4 linked regions of the Coturnix japonica genome follow. The protein of the gene in region 1 interacts with the protein of each later gene in a pairwise test. Links are inferred from orthologs where the notes say so. Each region holds a gene or a part of one and is shown on either strand. Other genes may lie near its edges.

The links.
Region 2: the proteins of STAM2 (region 1) and RNF11 interact in binary tests that used the Homo sapiens proteins (3 or more experiments, as listed by UniProt). The link is inferred for Coturnix japonica from reciprocal best matches to the Homo sapiens genes STAM2 and RNF11.
Region 3: the proteins of STAM2 (region 1) and ARRDC3 interact in binary tests that used the Homo sapiens proteins (3 or more experiments, as listed by UniProt). The two-hybrid records come from large-scale screens. The link is inferred for Coturnix japonica from reciprocal best matches to the Homo sapiens genes STAM2 and ARRDC3.
Region 4: the proteins of STAM2 (region 1) and PLEKHB2 interact in binary tests that used the Homo sapiens proteins (3 or more experiments, as listed by UniProt). The two-hybrid records come from large-scale screens. The link is inferred for Coturnix japonica from reciprocal best matches to the Homo sapiens genes STAM2 and PLEKHB2.

The regions. Positions count from the first base shown.
Region 1 is NC_029522.1:30,549,402-30,553,733, reverse strand, and holds the start of STAM2 (signal transducing adapter molecule 2), read right to left. Parts: upstream 2,824-4,332; 5' UTR 2,696-2,823; coding exon 2,656-2,695; intron 1-2,655.
Region 2 is NC_029523.1:21,408,073-21,412,166, forward strand, and holds the start of RNF11 (RING finger protein 11), read left to right. Parts: upstream 1-1,247; 5' UTR 1,248-1,713; coding exon 1,714-1,836; intron 1,837-4,094. UniProt on the Homo sapiens protein: Essential component of a ubiquitin-editing protein complex, comprising also TNFAIP3, ITCH and TAX1BP1, that ensures the transient nature of inflammatory signaling pathways. Promotes the association of TNFAIP3 to RIPK1 after TNF stimulation.
Region 3 is NC_029547.1:52,953,675-52,957,235, reverse strand, and holds part of ARRDC3 (arrestin domain-containing protein 3), read right to left. Parts: intron 3,026-3,561; coding exon 2,944-3,025; intron 684-2,943; coding exon 536-683; intron 1-535. UniProt on the Homo sapiens protein: Adapter protein that plays a role in regulating cell-surface expression of adrenergic receptors and probably also other G protein-coupled receptors.
Region 4 is NC_029524.1:997,032-1,001,345, reverse strand, and holds the start of PLEKHB2 (pleckstrin homology domain-containing family B member 2), read right to left. Parts: upstream 2,845-4,314; 5' UTR 2,723-2,844; intron 2,611-2,722; exon of another isoform or gene 2,534-2,610; intron 847-2,533; 5' UTR 836-846; coding exon 799-835; intron 198-798; coding exon 45-197; intron 1-44. UniProt on the Homo sapiens protein: Involved in retrograde transport of recycling endosomes.

The sequences.
Region 1 (4,332 bases):
TATTTAAGAAGGCTGACAATGGGGGAAAACAGCGAGTGTGTGTGAACTAATGATGAATAGATTTAGATAGGAAATTAAAATGTTCCAAACCCTTTAAAGAACTCAAGTCTCGTGGCACTCTCTCTACCAAAATAATAAGAATTTAAAAAAAAAAACACCACTTCTCTCTACCGAAATAATAAGAATCTTTAAAAAACCCACAGGTGAGAGAAATGGAACTCCTGAAACTATCCCATAGGTTCATCTCATGGAACTGCAACTATAGACAATGCAACCAAAGCAAATGCTGAGGAAGTAAGACCCTATGCAGATCTACTGCAAAGCAAACACAAGTTCAGAACTAAGAAAACAACAGCTGCAGCTGTGTTTATCTATAATTTCTAAAGGCCCCCTCCCAAGAAAGCTGCAATACCGAAGGCATGGCCTGAACAGATATCCAAACCAACCCAATTTCTTGCTGCCAGCAGAAGTAGGGCTTCAACCTTCCCAGGGAGCCCTGCCCCTCACTGCCACTTTGCAGCCTCTGATGAGCTGATCCGAGCCTCCAAACTCCATCGCCTTCACAGATGATCCCAACTGTCAGCCAAGCACTCCACTGCAATCTGTTTTCTGCTGAAGAGAATGCACTGAATCAGCCCAGAGAGCAACCCACAGCACCTGAGTGGACAAGAAGATGGAAGAGCTCTCCTTCCCAGTAGCATCAGGACATCAGCAGAGCTCGACTGCCCTCGTGGTACGCACCTTTATTATTTATAAATCAAAAAGATGAATGAGAAAATAAAACCTCGAATCACAAAGTTAAAGCTCGACAGCAGCATGAGCAGCCTGAGGTGAGTACCACCAGGGAAAGTACAGAACAACAGTGTTCAGTTATTTGCTGCTCCGTGTTGTCTGATTTACTAAGTAATAATAGCTGAAAGAAAAAAAAGCTCCTAGTGGCACAAAAGTAGATTCTTCCTAGCAAGGCACTGCGAGATTTAGCCTCAATAACTATGAAATTCCCAGCCCACTGCTCTTGTTTCATAGCAGCATGTGTGAGCAGTTCTACTCGCTATGTATAATACAGAGTTTAAGAAACTAGAGGCACACTGACCATCACTTTGCAGCCCTATGCTTTTAGAGCTGTTGCAGCTTTTCAGTTTTGACAAAGGATTTTGTACAGCCGTGAGTCCCCAGTTCAAGAAGTCTTCACTTGTGCAAATACATCAGAGCTATGAGAAAGGTACAGAACACACACAAGTTCTTTGAAACAAGTACAGCTGGCCTAAGCGGCTGCTACTTCATTTTAGCCACAGGTCAACATCAAAGAGAACTGAAGGCAAAGCCTTCAATAAACAAACTTTGAAGGCACACGAAGATAACAGTGAAACCTCAGAGTTGGAAGGGACCTCTGAGGGCCATCTAGTCCAGCTCCCTCGCAACCAACAGGGGCACCAAGCTAAGTCAGATTGCCCAGGGTCTGATTGAGCCTTACCTTGACAGTCTCCAGGGATGGGGCATCAACCACACCACTGTTCCAGTACCTCACTAACCTCACTGTAAAAGGCTTTTATCTAACCTAAATCTACCCTTTTCAAGCTCAGTGCCATTTCCCCTTGTTCTGTCACCACAGACCCTGCTAAAGAGTCCATCCCCTTCCTTCCTGTAGCTCCCCTGTAGACACTGAGAGGCCACTATTATCAGGTCACCTCGGAGCCTTGTCTTCTCCAGGCTGCACAGCCCCAGCTCTCTGATCCTGTCCTCATAGGAGAAGTGTTCCATTCCATCCTGTGGACTGTTTTTGTAGCCCTCCTCTGGACACTCTCCAGCAGCTCCATGTCCCTCCTGTACCGAGAGCTCCACATCTGGACGCAGCACTCCAGGTGAAACCTCACCAGCACAGAGCAGAGGAGCAGGACTTACACTCACCACAAGGAACTGGGGTGTTAACGTGAGCACTGACAGCCACCACTTCTTCCTGCCAGTGGCCAGAATCCTGCTCTAGGGAACCTGCAATGAGCTCTGGGGAACCAGCTCTCAGGGGACTGGGCTGGAGGAGCTCCAAGATCCCTTCCAACTCCTCTGGTTCCACGATTCGGCAATGACAAAACTCTTCTCGTACCTAAAGCCCTGGGAAATCACAGAATGACCCGGGTTTGAAGGGACCTCAAGGATCATGTAGTTCCAACCCCCCTGCCTGGCAGGGCCACCTTTACTAGATCATGTTGCCCAGGGCCCCGTCCAACCTGGTCTTGAACACCTCCAAGGACGGGGGAAATTTTAATTGCTTTTGCTGTGTTGCAGCTCAGCAGCGGGCCTTTAAAGAACAAAAAGCCAACAACAAGACACGGCACAAGCTGGATGTCCCCGAGGGCAGCGCTGGATCACGACCCGACCCGGACCAGCCCGGCTGAGTCACGGCCGCACCAGCCCCCGGTTTTGCAATGGAACGGAGCGGCGGCTCGGGCCGAAGTGGGGCTGTGTCCATTCTTACACCCGGTGGGCGCTATCCCGCCGCCGGCACCACCAAGGCCGATCTTGGCCTCCACAATCCCAGCCCGACCCGCCGACCCGAGATACGGCCGGGCATCGCCGCCGCTCACCCCTCACAGGCCCAACGCTGCACCGAGCCCAGCCGCGTCCCGCCGAGCTCCGCACCGCTCCCCGCTCACTCACCCACGTCCTGCTCGAAGGGGTTGGACGCGAACAGCGGCATCTCCACGGCGGCCGCCCGGCCCCGCTCCGGCCCCTCACACCGGGCCCCAAAGCCGAATGCGGCGGGGAGAATCAGGCACCGGCCGGGGCAGCCCGGGGACCTCGCGGGGTTTGGGCGGGCCCCGCACCTCGGCGCCTCGGCCACGGCCCTTCGTCACGGCTGGGAGGAGCCATGTTGAGGCGGGACGGGAGGAGAGAGGGGTGTGTGTGATGTTCACTTCTCATCCCCCTGTAACTGGGTTGTCGAAAGGGCTGACAATAGCAGGACACGGGGAGATGGTTTTAAGTTAAAAGAGGGAAGATTTAGGTTGGATGTTAGGGGGAAGTTCTTCACTAGGAGAGTGGTTAGGAACTGGAACAGGCTGCACAGGGAGGTTGTGGATGCCCCGTCCTTGGAGGTGTTCAAGGCCAGGTTGGACGGGGCCATGGGCACAACCTGATCTATGGGGTCTCTATGGGGATCTATGGGGTCTATGGAGTCTCTATGGGATCTATGGGGTCTATGGGGTCTCTATGGGATCTATGGGGTCTCCTGGGCAACCTGATCTAGTAAAGGTGTATGTTTGGTGGCCCTGCCAGGCAGGGGGGTTGGAACTACATGATCCCTGAGGTCCCTTCCAACCCGGCTCATTCTGTGATTCTGTGAATACTTTCAAGGACTTCTGGATTGTATATGAGAAATGGAGTCTAACTTGAAGCACACACGGACGTTTCTTGACAAATGAAGGCAGTTTGCGTTTATTTCTAACCACATCGGGCTAATTATCAAATGCCCTCTAGCTTTGCTGGCTCTGTGGCTGCCTCTATAGCAGCTTAATGACTCACGGGCTGCGGTGTGGGACGGAGCTCCCGTTGTGCTGGTGGCTGTGTTGGAGCAGTCTGCAGGTGGCACCGCTCTCCCACTTTGGAGGATTTTGATGACAAAACGGAGTGTTTTTCCTTCGACCTTAAATTTACGAATTCAGTCGAAACTGATGATTTCACGTAGTGAATCAAGCGGAGTCAAAACGTCATTAATTTGTTTGATTGCCTTAAAAAGACAGGACGAATCAATTGGTGGTTAGGCCCTGGAACAGGCTGCCCAGGGAGGTTGTGGATGCCCCGTCCTTGGAGGTGTTCAAGACCAGTTTGGATGGGGCCCTGGGCAACCTGATCTATGGGGTCTCTATGGGGTCTATGGGGTCTCTATGGGGTCTATGGGGTCTATGGGGTCTATGGGGTCTCTATGGGGTCTATGGGGTCTCCTGGGCAACCTGATCTAGTAAATGTGTATATTTGGTGGCCCTGTCAGGCAGGGGGGTTGGAACTACATGATCCTTGAGGTCCCTTCCAACCCGCGTCATTCTGTGATTTTGTGATCTGTAAAGAAATGCAATAAACACTAATGTCGACTGGCTGAAATAGAAAAATGTAATGAGTTCTATAGAAGACAATGAGTTCTCATTTGTATTAACTTCAGCTCTGTTCTTCTCCACAGAGAAGACTGCGTGTGGTGCAGTTATCGCAGCAGCTGCCCAGGCAAGTAAATGGCTATTTTGTCACTTCTTACCATCCTGCAATGTTGTTACGGTCACCTTGGTATTGCATAGGATGAATCAGCTCCTAAACATTTGCTTCGCTTTTTACCTGGCTGCGGTG
Region 2 (4,094 bases), on another chromosome or scaffold:
TGATGCTGTGGGACTGATGGACATAGTCAGTGGGCATGGGGGGAACGGGTTGGGGTTGGACTTGTGGAAGGGGTCTTTTCCAGTCTGAATGATTTTATGATAAAATGAGAAATGGTGGTAGAATAAAGATATTCTTCTCATTACCTGTTATCTTGTCAGTGATGCCACCACTGCACAGCTGAACGTCCTCTAGCTGCGCCTTAACCCACCACAGGATCCTGCAGAAGCAGCTCTGACATTGCTCTCACCTTGAAGCTACTCTTAAGAGAGGCAGTGACTCCTCTCCAACCACTGCTTACCTTCTTAATTCTCCTATTAACCGAGTCAACATATTCCTGCGATAAACATTCACACCCTGTACAGTATTCATTGTGAGTTACAGCACACTATTACAAAGTGTTTCCATCACAAGCAACACTCACAACTCAGGCACTACTTCTAGCTTCTTAGGAAAACCTTTTCCAAGCCCTGTAAACGCCAACAATATCTTCTCTGTTGCTATAGATTTCATACTGAAAGTGCTTAAGTCACCCAATAACCAGCAGCAAAACAAAACTCTCAAACAATAATAAAAGGAAATCCTCAAGGAGGAACTCACGTGGATAACAAGCAGCAGCACAGCTCCCCACCTTCCAAGCACTAAAGGGCCTCTCAAAGGTCTGAACAGAGATGGAAGAGCCAAGTACCAGCAGCTGGCTTAAAGAACTCAGATGGGAGCCTGACACAGATCAGCTGAGACACCCTTGATTAAAGCCGGCCATGCTTTATTGCTTCAGGACCTAATTTCTAGTTGCTGTCACCTGTGTTGAATTTGCTTCAGATCAATATTCAGTGGCCTGAACCTGATGGGCAAGAAGGCACTATGAGGATCTGAGCTGGAGGAAACCCTTAAATGTGCCTTAAGAAACATGTTTCCTTCATGCTGCGTTGGTGTGGTTATGTTAGAAGGGTGCCGACTTCGCACTGTGCATACAACTGTATTTCACTTTAAAAGTTTATCTTCTCAATTGAGAGGCTGCACACACCGTTACATCAATCACGTATTGCTGTAGCTCTCATCACCTCCAAGGCCGCCTCCGCACACAAAGAGCAGCACGGCCCGGCCCTCTGCCCTTAGCGGCTGCCGGGGCCCAGCGCGGGGCAGGAACTTCGGCCTCCGGCACAGCTCCGCCCCGAGCTCAGACGCCGGGTCCGTCCCGCACACCGACAGCTGCGGGGCGGAGCGAAGCGCCGCTCGCTGTGGGGCCGGAGGCGGCCGGCCTGGCCTCATTGCGCCGGGGCGGGCACAGCTCCCCGGCCGCCGAGCGCGGTGCCGCCGGGCCCTACGTGCGCGATCCCGGCGGGGCGGAGTGAGAGGAGGAGCCGGGGCGGCCTGTGCGACAAAGCCCAGTGCGCAGAAAGCTGGTGACCAGGAAGCGGAACGGCACCGGGCTGCCGCGGGGCGGGGGGCGGGCGGACCCCACCTGAGCCCCGCTGCCCCAGCGCTCCCGGGCGGGAGCCGAGCCCTGCGGCCCCACGGCTCGGGGCCAAGTGCGGCCGGCGCTGCGGGGCGGCCGTGCTGCCGCTAAGCCGCTTAGGGCCGGGCTGGCATGAGCCTCCCCGGCGGGGCGGCTGCGGGCTGCGCGCTGCGGGGCGGCTGAGGGTGCGGAGCCGTCCGTCGTAAGGAGGGGGAGAAAGCGGAGGGGACGCCCCTGCTCCCCGGGGGGAAGGAAAATGGGGAACTGCCTCAAGTCCCCCACATCAGATGACATCTCGCTGCTCCACGAGTCCCAGTCGGACCGGGCCAGCTACGGGGACGGGGCTGAGCCGGATCAGGAGCCGCCGCCGCCATATCAGGTACGGGAGGGGGCGGGGAGCGGCGCGGCGGAGCCGGTGGGGACGGGGACGGACGGAGAGGGGCACGGGACGGGGGGGCGGGTTGAAGCCCCGAGGACCCCCCGGGGCGCTGCACAGCGTCCGTCCCCGCGGGCACCGAACGGCGGGTCCCGGCCGTGAAGTGAGGAGCGCCGCTTTGTTCCCCGGGGGGTCGCCGAGCTGTCGCGGGGCCGCACGGACCGTTCGGGACACGAAGCCGGAGACGGCGGAGGGGGGTCGGGGCCCGCCCAGGGGTCGGAGCCGCCTCGATCGTGTCTGGATTTGGGCTGAAAGCAGGAGGGGAAGGCGTCGAGTTTCCAGCCGTGCCGCTTCCTTTGTTGTCGTCGCGCGGTGACATCACTGTCTGTGCCGCTCTCGGTGCTCCCCGCACCGGAGGCCGCGCGCTCGGCGCTGCCCGGCTTTGTCTGCGGCGCTTCGGCAGCAGCTGAACCGGAGTAACTTCGTGCTGCGGGGTGAGCCCGTTTCTTTCAGCTCCGTGCGGTTCCAGGAAGGGCCGTTCGCTCTCCTGCCTGGAGAGGATGTGTACATTGACGGCTGATGACGAGCTGGGGAAGAACGCCGGGTGCTCCGTCACGTCCTCACAGCTGTGGGGTCCCGGCACAGCTCTGTGCTGTGATGGCCACCAAAAGGACCCAGGGCTGCATTTATCCCCTGCTTCATCTCCATCTCCTAAGGAAGGATTGTACGTGGCTCTGAGCAGGACACGAGCCCTGTCTGAAGGGATCTGTAACAGTGACAGGTACAGATGAGTCCTGCGCTCCTTAGGGTGGGGAGTCACGCAGGAGTTGCAGACCTTAACGTATTATTAACAAGGCTGCAGGAAGTATTTAGCAGGGCAGATATTAACCTGTGATACTCGACGAACACCGGCTGTGACAGGAGGTCCCTGGGTTGCTCCATGGGCACAGCAACCCTTGGTGGAACCATGCTGGGACCACTGGGCCCTGCAGAGCTGCTCGCTTTATGTGACTGCTTCATGACAGAACAAATTCCCTAAGATGGGTTGGGTTTTTTTCCCTGACTTTTTAGTAAAGTCTGCACAAGTCCATTAAATAAAGATGTGTGGTGTCAGGTTTTTTTGACAGGCGATGTTCTGAGCCAATCCTGCTTGTCCCTCCTGTTTGGGAACGCAATGAAAATTGTCCCTTGGAAAAAAACCTGTCGGCTCTTGCAGGAGTTGAGAAATTGCACTGTGCAGGCCTTCTCCTGTCGACTTCAGAGCACAGCAGACAGTAAAATAAGCAAACTCGCAGACATTTGTTACTGTGTGCATTCATAGCAAAACTCCCCCAAACCCCACGCGCTGATCCCAGCAGATCTCAAACACTCACTGTAAGGGGCATCTTGTGTTGCATAGTCAACATTCAAAGATACTCGCTCCACAAATAAAGAAACACAGTGCTTTGTGATGACAAAAGACCTTCACCTTCATACTTTGCAGTATTCCACACGCTTTGAGGTTGAGGGGGGTTGTAACTTCAAATTGTTTTGGGGTGAAAAGGTGTGCAAGCCGAGCGCTGAACCTGGGGAACTCCTGGAGCTCCATTATTGCTGTAGTGGCAGCAGGATGTTGTGATCTTATCCTCTTCCTTGCCTGCCTTCCTCCGCAGGTCTGCATGTTCTCTTACACACTTTAATTCTCATTCAAACATTGTAGAAAGTATCACCTATAAGGACAAGAATCCCACATGCCCATTTCTAACACTGAATCTGAGCTATGATCTGGAATTTAAAATAAGGCCAAGAGTTTAAAAACTTGTTTGTGGCACCTACTGCTGCGCACGAGGAGCTGTGGACGATTAACAACTTAAAACTGAGCTGCTGGAGCCTCAGCCATAAAATGGCTGCATTTGGGTTTGCTTCCTTTGGGTTTGCAGCAACGATGTGCAAACTTCCTGAGCCGCTCTCTCAAGGTGTGCTAACAAGCAGAGCGAAGGAAGCTTGCTGGGGTAGGTGCAGCGTTGTAGACAGGACTTGTGTGTCTCTTTGAGCTAAAGTCTGTGCTATCTTGATACTCAAAACATTTTCTGTGTCTTGGCACGCTTGTTTTGTGGGTGTCCATATGGGAATCGAGTTAAGCAATAATTTTTTAAGGTGTTCACTTCTAACTGCAAAATAGGCACCTAATAATCTCTTCACTGTTGCATGCCAAACTCCTTTTCATCACTGAGTGCTACTGAATCTGCTGTATAAAATTCCTGCTTCTAAAAGTTGAACTG
Region 3 (3,561 bases), on another chromosome or scaffold:
AATCTTAAGCCAGATTGAAATCAGCTCCTTACTGAAAGCGGTTGCAACACTAAGATTTTAATAAAAATGACATTTCTGAAAAAGATCATATATAGAATTGTGATAATTTCTCCCCATTGGTAGAAAACCATCCATTTGGAAATTACGCACGCCAGTACATTATTTCACTTTGCATTTTTAAGTTAGCAGTCTCTCATTAAAACGTTCTTTGAAGTTGCACTGTTCCTTCCACAGATAATTCAAAATTGAAGAGGAACAGTTCACAAAAATTTCCTTTTTATAGAGAAATTAAAATTTAGCAGTATTAAATTGACAAAGGTATCTTACATATCTTAAAAATGAAGCAACTCCAGGTACAGGATAACAGCAAAACAAGTAATTGAAGAGTTGCCAAACTGATAGAATACTTAAAAGATCAGCTGCTGTTAAAAACTAGTAAATAGATACTAGATAAAATCCAATGTTGATATTCTTTCCTGTATTTTACTTATTTTTATGTCAGAAAAAAAGAATGAGTAATTCTGTCAATTCTTACCAGTAATGAAGGAGTGTTGATATCTATATGTTCAAAGACTGTAAATTCCTTCTTTAATTTTACTGGTAGAAGCCAAGGCCTATGCAATTCGGCTTTCACCCAATAGCGCACACTGCCATGTCTGCCTTCGAATGAGGTAGCAAGTGGTCTGTGCAGGACACAAAGGTCAAAACTGAGTAAAATCTCTTTCTCACTCTTTATAATAATGATATAATCAGATTAGGGATTAGTATGTAGAATTCTATTTTTAATGCACTGTAGTATTTAACTAAGCGTAACTTATTTGCAAAGTTTCCATATCTGAGCAAAATTCAAGATTAAAGATGGGAGAAAAAATCATCTCCAATTCACCCTAATTTAGTTTTGTATAGATTTTAAGAATCAATGTAAGAATTGTACTAGAAAATGCCAGGAGAGTTCACATTTCCTTTAAACTCAAGAGGCTGCTTTCACATCCACCATGCCCTTTTACGGCTGCATTAAGACTACCAACTTAAAATTAGCAACAGTACCAACTGGTTTGAATACTGTATTTTTGAAGTAATTGTTTATTGTTTGCTTGGCTGCTAAGTGTCTTCTTTTAGCAGTTACTGAACACAGTAGTTCGTGTAATTTTAAGTAAATAATTCAAATGACAGTTCTGAATAGAGAAGGGTTATCGGAAGTACCTTCCAGTTCTCATCTACTCCAGTGAGAGCAGTTTATAAAGTTTATGCAAAATACATGCATGTGTTTACGTATCATATGAACACGCATGCAGAGTTATCAGGACTATTCCACTCTGAATGTTTCAGAGACTAATGAAATCCTTTCAAGAGACCTGGAGGAAAACTGTGGAAGAATCTCGAAACTTTTCACCTTTGCTTTTAAGTCACAGAACTCCCTTTATCTCTAAGTAACAGTAAATTTCCTTTTTTTAAAAAAAAAAAATCTAAGAATTTTTGTAATTTAATCTGTTTACTCAAAATGATGTGCAAACCTTCTGTAATTCCTACTGGGAACACTCCTAGCCATTCTAGTACTTTACTTAAATGATTCTTTGTCAGTAATAGGTACGACATCTGTTTACATTTCTGAAACATATCTAGTCTATATTCAGTCGTAGATCCTGTCTTGTACCCTGAAGGGCAAAAAAGAAACAAAACAAAACAAGCCCCTCAGTGTTCTCCTTTTTACTGTTGCTCTGGATTTTTTTTTTAATTAACTTTGGAAAAATCCCACTGATAGGAAATCACAAGAAATGGTAAATAGGTGCCTCCAGGTCTTTAGGCTTTAACACCAGTCGTCCTTGTTTTTCTTCAGCGTTATCAGAAGCTGATTGCACAACTATTTTTTCAAGTTACTTATAAACACTGTGTTCTAACCACTGGTTGTGGTACTTCAATTTAATACTAAATATTTCACAGTGATCTACTATCTTGCTTTTTCAACCCTTCCAAATCAAGGGAAGATGAAGACTACTATTTTTACTTTTTGTAGTAGAGATTTTCACATAATGGCAAATTGTCTCTGATGATCTCCATACATGGGTCTTTTTCAGCACTCCAGCAACTATGTACGTTCAAGTTCTACACTGCTCACTTCTTATACTGACCCATGAGGTGGTTATGACCTGCAGGTTCTATTATAGCCAGCACCTCTAATAAACAGATGGTTTGCCAGCTTTAGTATTAGGCACTTAACTATTTCACGCAACAGTGTCTGCCAAATTTATCCAACTGTAACAGCTTCACTGCCTGAATTCCATAAGGAAGTCTCCTTCCTCTCCCATTTCTCATCTGTTTTCAGACTGTTGCTATCCCTACGCATTTTGTATTATTGGAGCTTGTAGTTTAGCTCTGCCTCTCACTTCTGCTTTCTGAAACAAATGTGATGAAGGATGGGAATGTTTCTCAGTTCATCCACTCATTTATCTGCTTATTGCCATCCAGCCTTTTCATACAGAGGCCAGCTTGAGAAGACACATCCCATTTAATCTGGAACAATCTCCTCTTTCATTGTTAGTTAAAATAGTCACTTCTGTTCCAGACTAAGCCTAAATAAGCAAGATGGCGTCTTATGGCCAGTTTTGCTGGTCCACAAGGCTCTACTGGTTACATTAGAAGGCATCTCAGCCACTCCACAGGACTCAAGCCAGTTAAACTTCACTCCTCTTGGAAGGGGTTAAAATATCAGAAGACATAGCCAGTCAGTACCAGCTAGGTCAAGAGTGAGTGAGCCACCAGGCAACAATGTGCTCCCATTTTGTGGGGTTTGAAAGCAACCTCTTCAGATGAAGGAGATGATGTCCTCTGCAGCATGCTGCAGCACAATTCCTGCCACCATTGAAAAGGTTTCCCCTCCACCCGAAGCAGGCGTGTCTGCAGGCATCGCACTGCCCCAGCAGCATGGTATAACTAGGAACTTACGTCTGTGGAAGCTCAAAGCTGAATGCATATTCGTGCCTTCCTGAAGGGATCGTGTGAAGGCCTTCCTCAGAGTTGTCATCATCTAGGAGGCAAAAAACCCAAAATGCTATTCCACTAGCACTCATTTCATATAGCAAAATATATCACATAGGCATCAATTGCAAAATAAAAGGAATCTGCAATCTCATCATAGTGCTTTACACAGCGTCCCAGGAACTACAGTTACTAAACTCAAGGTGTGCATAATCTCCCAGGTTCAATTGGAAGCAGAAATCTGCTTTAATTCATAATCCCACTTCTCAACATTGTCACAGCTGTCACCGCTGCCATTCCAAGACCTGCCAGAAAGATCGGTGGTGTAAACCAATCTGCTTTTCCACAATGATTCTTGTTTAAAACTTAAGATGAAATAGAGGTAGCTTTAATAACACTAGGCTACCTCACACTCAGAACTAACTCTGGTATGTAAAATACATTTAGTAATTCAGTTTTTTGTTGTTTTTTTTTTTCTTTAAATGGGAAAAAAAAATACTGCTTTGCACCAGCATTCAGAAATAAATCACAAAAAAAGAGATGGCCAAATAATGTGCACGGAGGGATGGAGGGGAACAAGCCGAA
Region 4 (4,314 bases), on another chromosome or scaffold:
AAATCTCTCAATGCACAAATTTCAAAGGTAACAGTGACTATTACCTCGACATTCGTTCCCCACTCTGAGGTTGATGCAATGGATTCGCATGTGGATTTTATCTTCTATATCATGGCGATTCTGATCGTCATAGAATATTAAACGGCCATCAGACCACAGGTCAAACCAGTTCTTCTTCCAGCGCCGCAAAATAGTGCCTTTAAAATCAAACAGTCGCTTATGAAGGCATATGTTAGAAGGTATTTGTGTCTTAAAGTTAATAAAACCAAGATATCTTTCCCAATTGCCCCAGAGGACAAAAGCATTCTCAGGCTCCAGGCAAGATCTTGTCCTACCACTGCTTTAGAACATTACAAAATTGGTTTCCCTATTTCATTTACTACTCCAAGTTGCAATGGAGTGTATTTTAAGGGCATAACCCAGTGCTTTAATTCTATCCCTCTGCAAGAAGAAGCAGAGGGCATGACTACCTGAAGACTTTAATGTAAGGTGTCAGGCAAAGTTTCCAAGTCTCCTCTTACATAACACTAATTACAGAGCAGCATCTGAAGCAGGACACTCAGACAGCTCAGATGTGACATATGCTGTTTCTCACTAGTACACCCAAAGGTAACACAGAAATGCTGTCATGATAGGTCCTTTTGTGAAATGCCTTACAGTCAAAAAGCAAGGACAACAACCCACAGATGCAGAGACCTGTTTAAGAAATAACACCTGGGAATGACTGAGATGCTGTAAAGCTTTTTGATGGAGTTAGACACAGTGGAGAGAAAAGGAGGTTAGAGCCCCATGACTTACTTTGCCGGAGCAGCCAGCCACTCTTCACAAATGCCATTGTTGCTTAATCTGGTGGACAGAAGAGGAAGGAGAGGAAGCAGACATCAGTATTTCACAGCACTACATTAGAAAGAGGCACGTCAAGTTAGAATGTCACAGTGCACTCCGCTTGTATTTCAGATAGAGAAGACAGATCTCACCTGAAGATCCTCACTAAGGCCCAACTAGTATCCCAGACCCTAGCAAGTGGAACAGGCATGTAATCTGATGTGACTGTCAGAGACACATCAGTTAAAAAGGGGAAAGCACAAGTTAACAAATGACACTGTTGCAAAATAGGGAAGAGACAGACCTGCGACCCTGACTCACTGCTGGCTGCTTTACAAATTGCTTCCTTGACACAGATGTGATCCCTCTATCCTGCAACACTCTCCCTCCCTTTTTCTGTGCTTCCCCTTCTATTTTTTTGTTTTTCATTCGTTGACTCAAAGTCCAGCCATAACAAAAGCTGAAAGAGTTTAACCTTGAACAGGAAGGAGAAAGCTGTTTTTATGACTTGTATGCCACCCAAATTGTCACCAGCTCCCTCCCAAATGAATTTTAAGTAAGTAAAAGTTGAGCCCGTAAAGTGACACTCTCATTTCTCCTCAGCTTTTAAATGAAGCTCAAAATGGCCTGGTTAAGAAGAAGAGGAAGCTTTTCACCCAGAGGGTGGCAACGCACTGGAACAGGTTGCCCAAGGAGGCTGTGGATGCCCCATCCCTGCAGGCATTCAAGGCCAGGCTGGATGTGGCTCTGGGCAGCCTGGGCTGCTGGTTGGTGACCCTGCACACAGCAGGGGGTTGAAATGAGCATTGTGGTCCTCTGCAACCCAGGCCATTCTGTGATTCTATGATTCTATGAAGAAAACCTCTCTCCTGGCAACCTGAAGATCACAGAGCATCCAACAAGCCAAGTCTCACATTGCAGGCCATCTCCCACTTAGGGCTCCAGAACCAAAGAGGCCTCTGTAGCTGTACTGCACCCTGTGTGCAATCTCAGATACGTGAACTGCGTTCTCCCTGCACAGAACCTCAGTGCCCCAAACTTCTGCTCCAAATAGATGGCAATGAGTGACACAGAGCAGTCTGTCTGCACCTAAATAGGAGGTGAAAGAACAATCTGATATCCTTGTCTGATCCTTTTTAAGTGCAAGCATGTACGTGGAGTCCACCACAGTGTTACAATCAGCCCACTCTGTGTCAAGAAGAGTGTTTCCAGAGCTAGAAGAGAGCTGTGGGAGATAAGCATCAGCTGCACAGTATCTGCTTGTGAAGCTCCGTGTGACCAGCACGGGAAGCGGGAATTAAACACAGATAAGTCAGGGCTTTGTATCACCCACCTCAGAAGTTTGCTGGTGGCTGAAGCCTAAAGGCAGAAACGCCCTTCATGGAGCACAAGAGCAAACACAGCAAAGGTGTGGGGGCCGCTCCCTGCTGCTCCTTTTCCTCCCTCACACAGAACACAGCATGGAATATCCCACCACTTATTCCAGTCGCCCTTTTGCTGGCTGACGGGAAAAGCCAGCTCCGGATCCAGCGAAGTGCAGCTCGCCATTGCTGCGGGTGCAGCCGTCACACTGCAGCGGAGGCGGATCGGCTGCCACCGCCATCCCGCAGCACCAGCTGCAGACACACCGCCTCACCCGACTGATGCTCCCGTTTAAAACCAAACAAGTCAGGAACTTCCCGACTCCGCACCCAACGCCCGTTCCTACCGAGAGCCGCGCGGCTCCGTTCAGCACCATCTCGGGGCCGGCCGGCGCTACGGGTTGGGCCGCACACCGCAGCCCCGCGCCCCTCGCCGGATAGTCCCGCCTCCCGCCGCGCACCCGGCAGCCTCAGGCCCCGCAGCTCCGCACGGCCGGGCCGGGACCCCGCACTCAGCGCCCCTCGGCCGTCCCTACCTGCCGCCTATGCCGATCCGCTCCCGCTGCGGCCCCGCTCCGCCGGCGGGCAGTGCCAGCCCCGCCCTGACGTCAGCCCGCCGCGCCGCCCCGGCTGGGCCGCGACACACGGCTGCACGGACGCGGCCTGGCCGGGGGGTGGGTGAGCTGGCAGGGCCCGGGTCCGTTGCCATGCCCAGGTCCGTTGCCATGCCCAGGTCCGTTCCCGTGCCCGTTGCTATGCCCCATCGAGCTCATTCTTTGTCATAACACAGCCTTGTTCATCTCTCCAACACACGTTCAGTTTTGAGTGCCCACAACATACCGGCTTGAATCTCTGCAGTGTTCACGCATCCTCGTTAAAGGTGAACAAATGCAGGCACGGCTTGTGCCTCTTGTCTTCACAGCTCTCATTTCCATGGTGTACTGTGTTTTGCTAATGGTGATGTGAGCAACAATCTGCTGTGCTGACATAAGAATTAGCAATTTTGGAGCAGTTCAACAACTTACATACCTCTTATCTTAGGAAAACCTATGGGGCTGAGGCTTCAGAGCTGAGAAAAGTCTAACTTGCTTTTGAAAATAAGACTTGTTCTTAAGCAGGACAGTGCCTCTCTGGCACACTGCTGGGGAGAATGAGAGGCCTGCTCACCTGTGTGACCTACAAATGAAGCCATATGTCCTCTCACCCTCAGACCTGTGGTTGTGGCTCAGTACAATGAGCTCTTTAGGCACTTGATCCAGAGGAAACAGTAGGGAGAGTTGTAAATGCGTCCAAATGAGATGCTGTCAGCAGCTTCATGGTGTGAGGCCATTGCAGCCCTGCAGGCAGCAGGCTGCTGAGCACTCTGGGAGCAGCAGACAAACAAAAGTCCAGCCAGAAGCTGAGGAATTTTCTGGGTGAACCCCTGGGATGTCATTGTCAGCTTCTGTTGTTTCGATCTGATCAAAAACAAACAGAAAGGGGAAAGCCTGTGTGCAGTCAGCCAGCCCTGCAGGCCACAGCACCAGAAGGCCGTTCCACTGTCAGTGACACAGCCTGTTTGGCAGCAACGGGGCTTGGGATTTCATTTTTATTTGTCGGCAGTTTTGAAAAGCAGATGATTGTCAGGGGTGGGACGAGGCCTTTGTGACATGCAGACAAGCTCCTGCAGAGAAAACAACTTGTGCCAGTTTGTTCTACCACACTTTGTGCCACTAATGACTGTTTGGGCCTGGCAGCATCAATGAGAAGTCTCCTCTGAAGTACCTGAGCTCTGACTCCCACCTTCACATGGCACTGACTGCACCGTTATATTAGCACCTAAAGACAGTGCTAAGGGAGAAGATTTACACTAAAGCTCTCAGTCTGCAGGAAGATATCTTGAAGGAAGAGGGAGAGGTTGTGAGAGCACGCCATGCAAGGCCCAGCTTGCTCAGTGGAGATCATCCTGTCTTCTGAAGGTGTTGCATGAGGCCCTACACTGTTTTACCTTCTCTCCCAGGAGTCAGAGCACGTTGTCACAAACTATTAGTGGCTGTTTCTCGGGAGCCATTGTGGTATGTAATAACTGCACTGAAATGCGTAGGAAGCGCTCGTGCTTGACTGCTGCTTTTAATAGCAGCAAACGCCA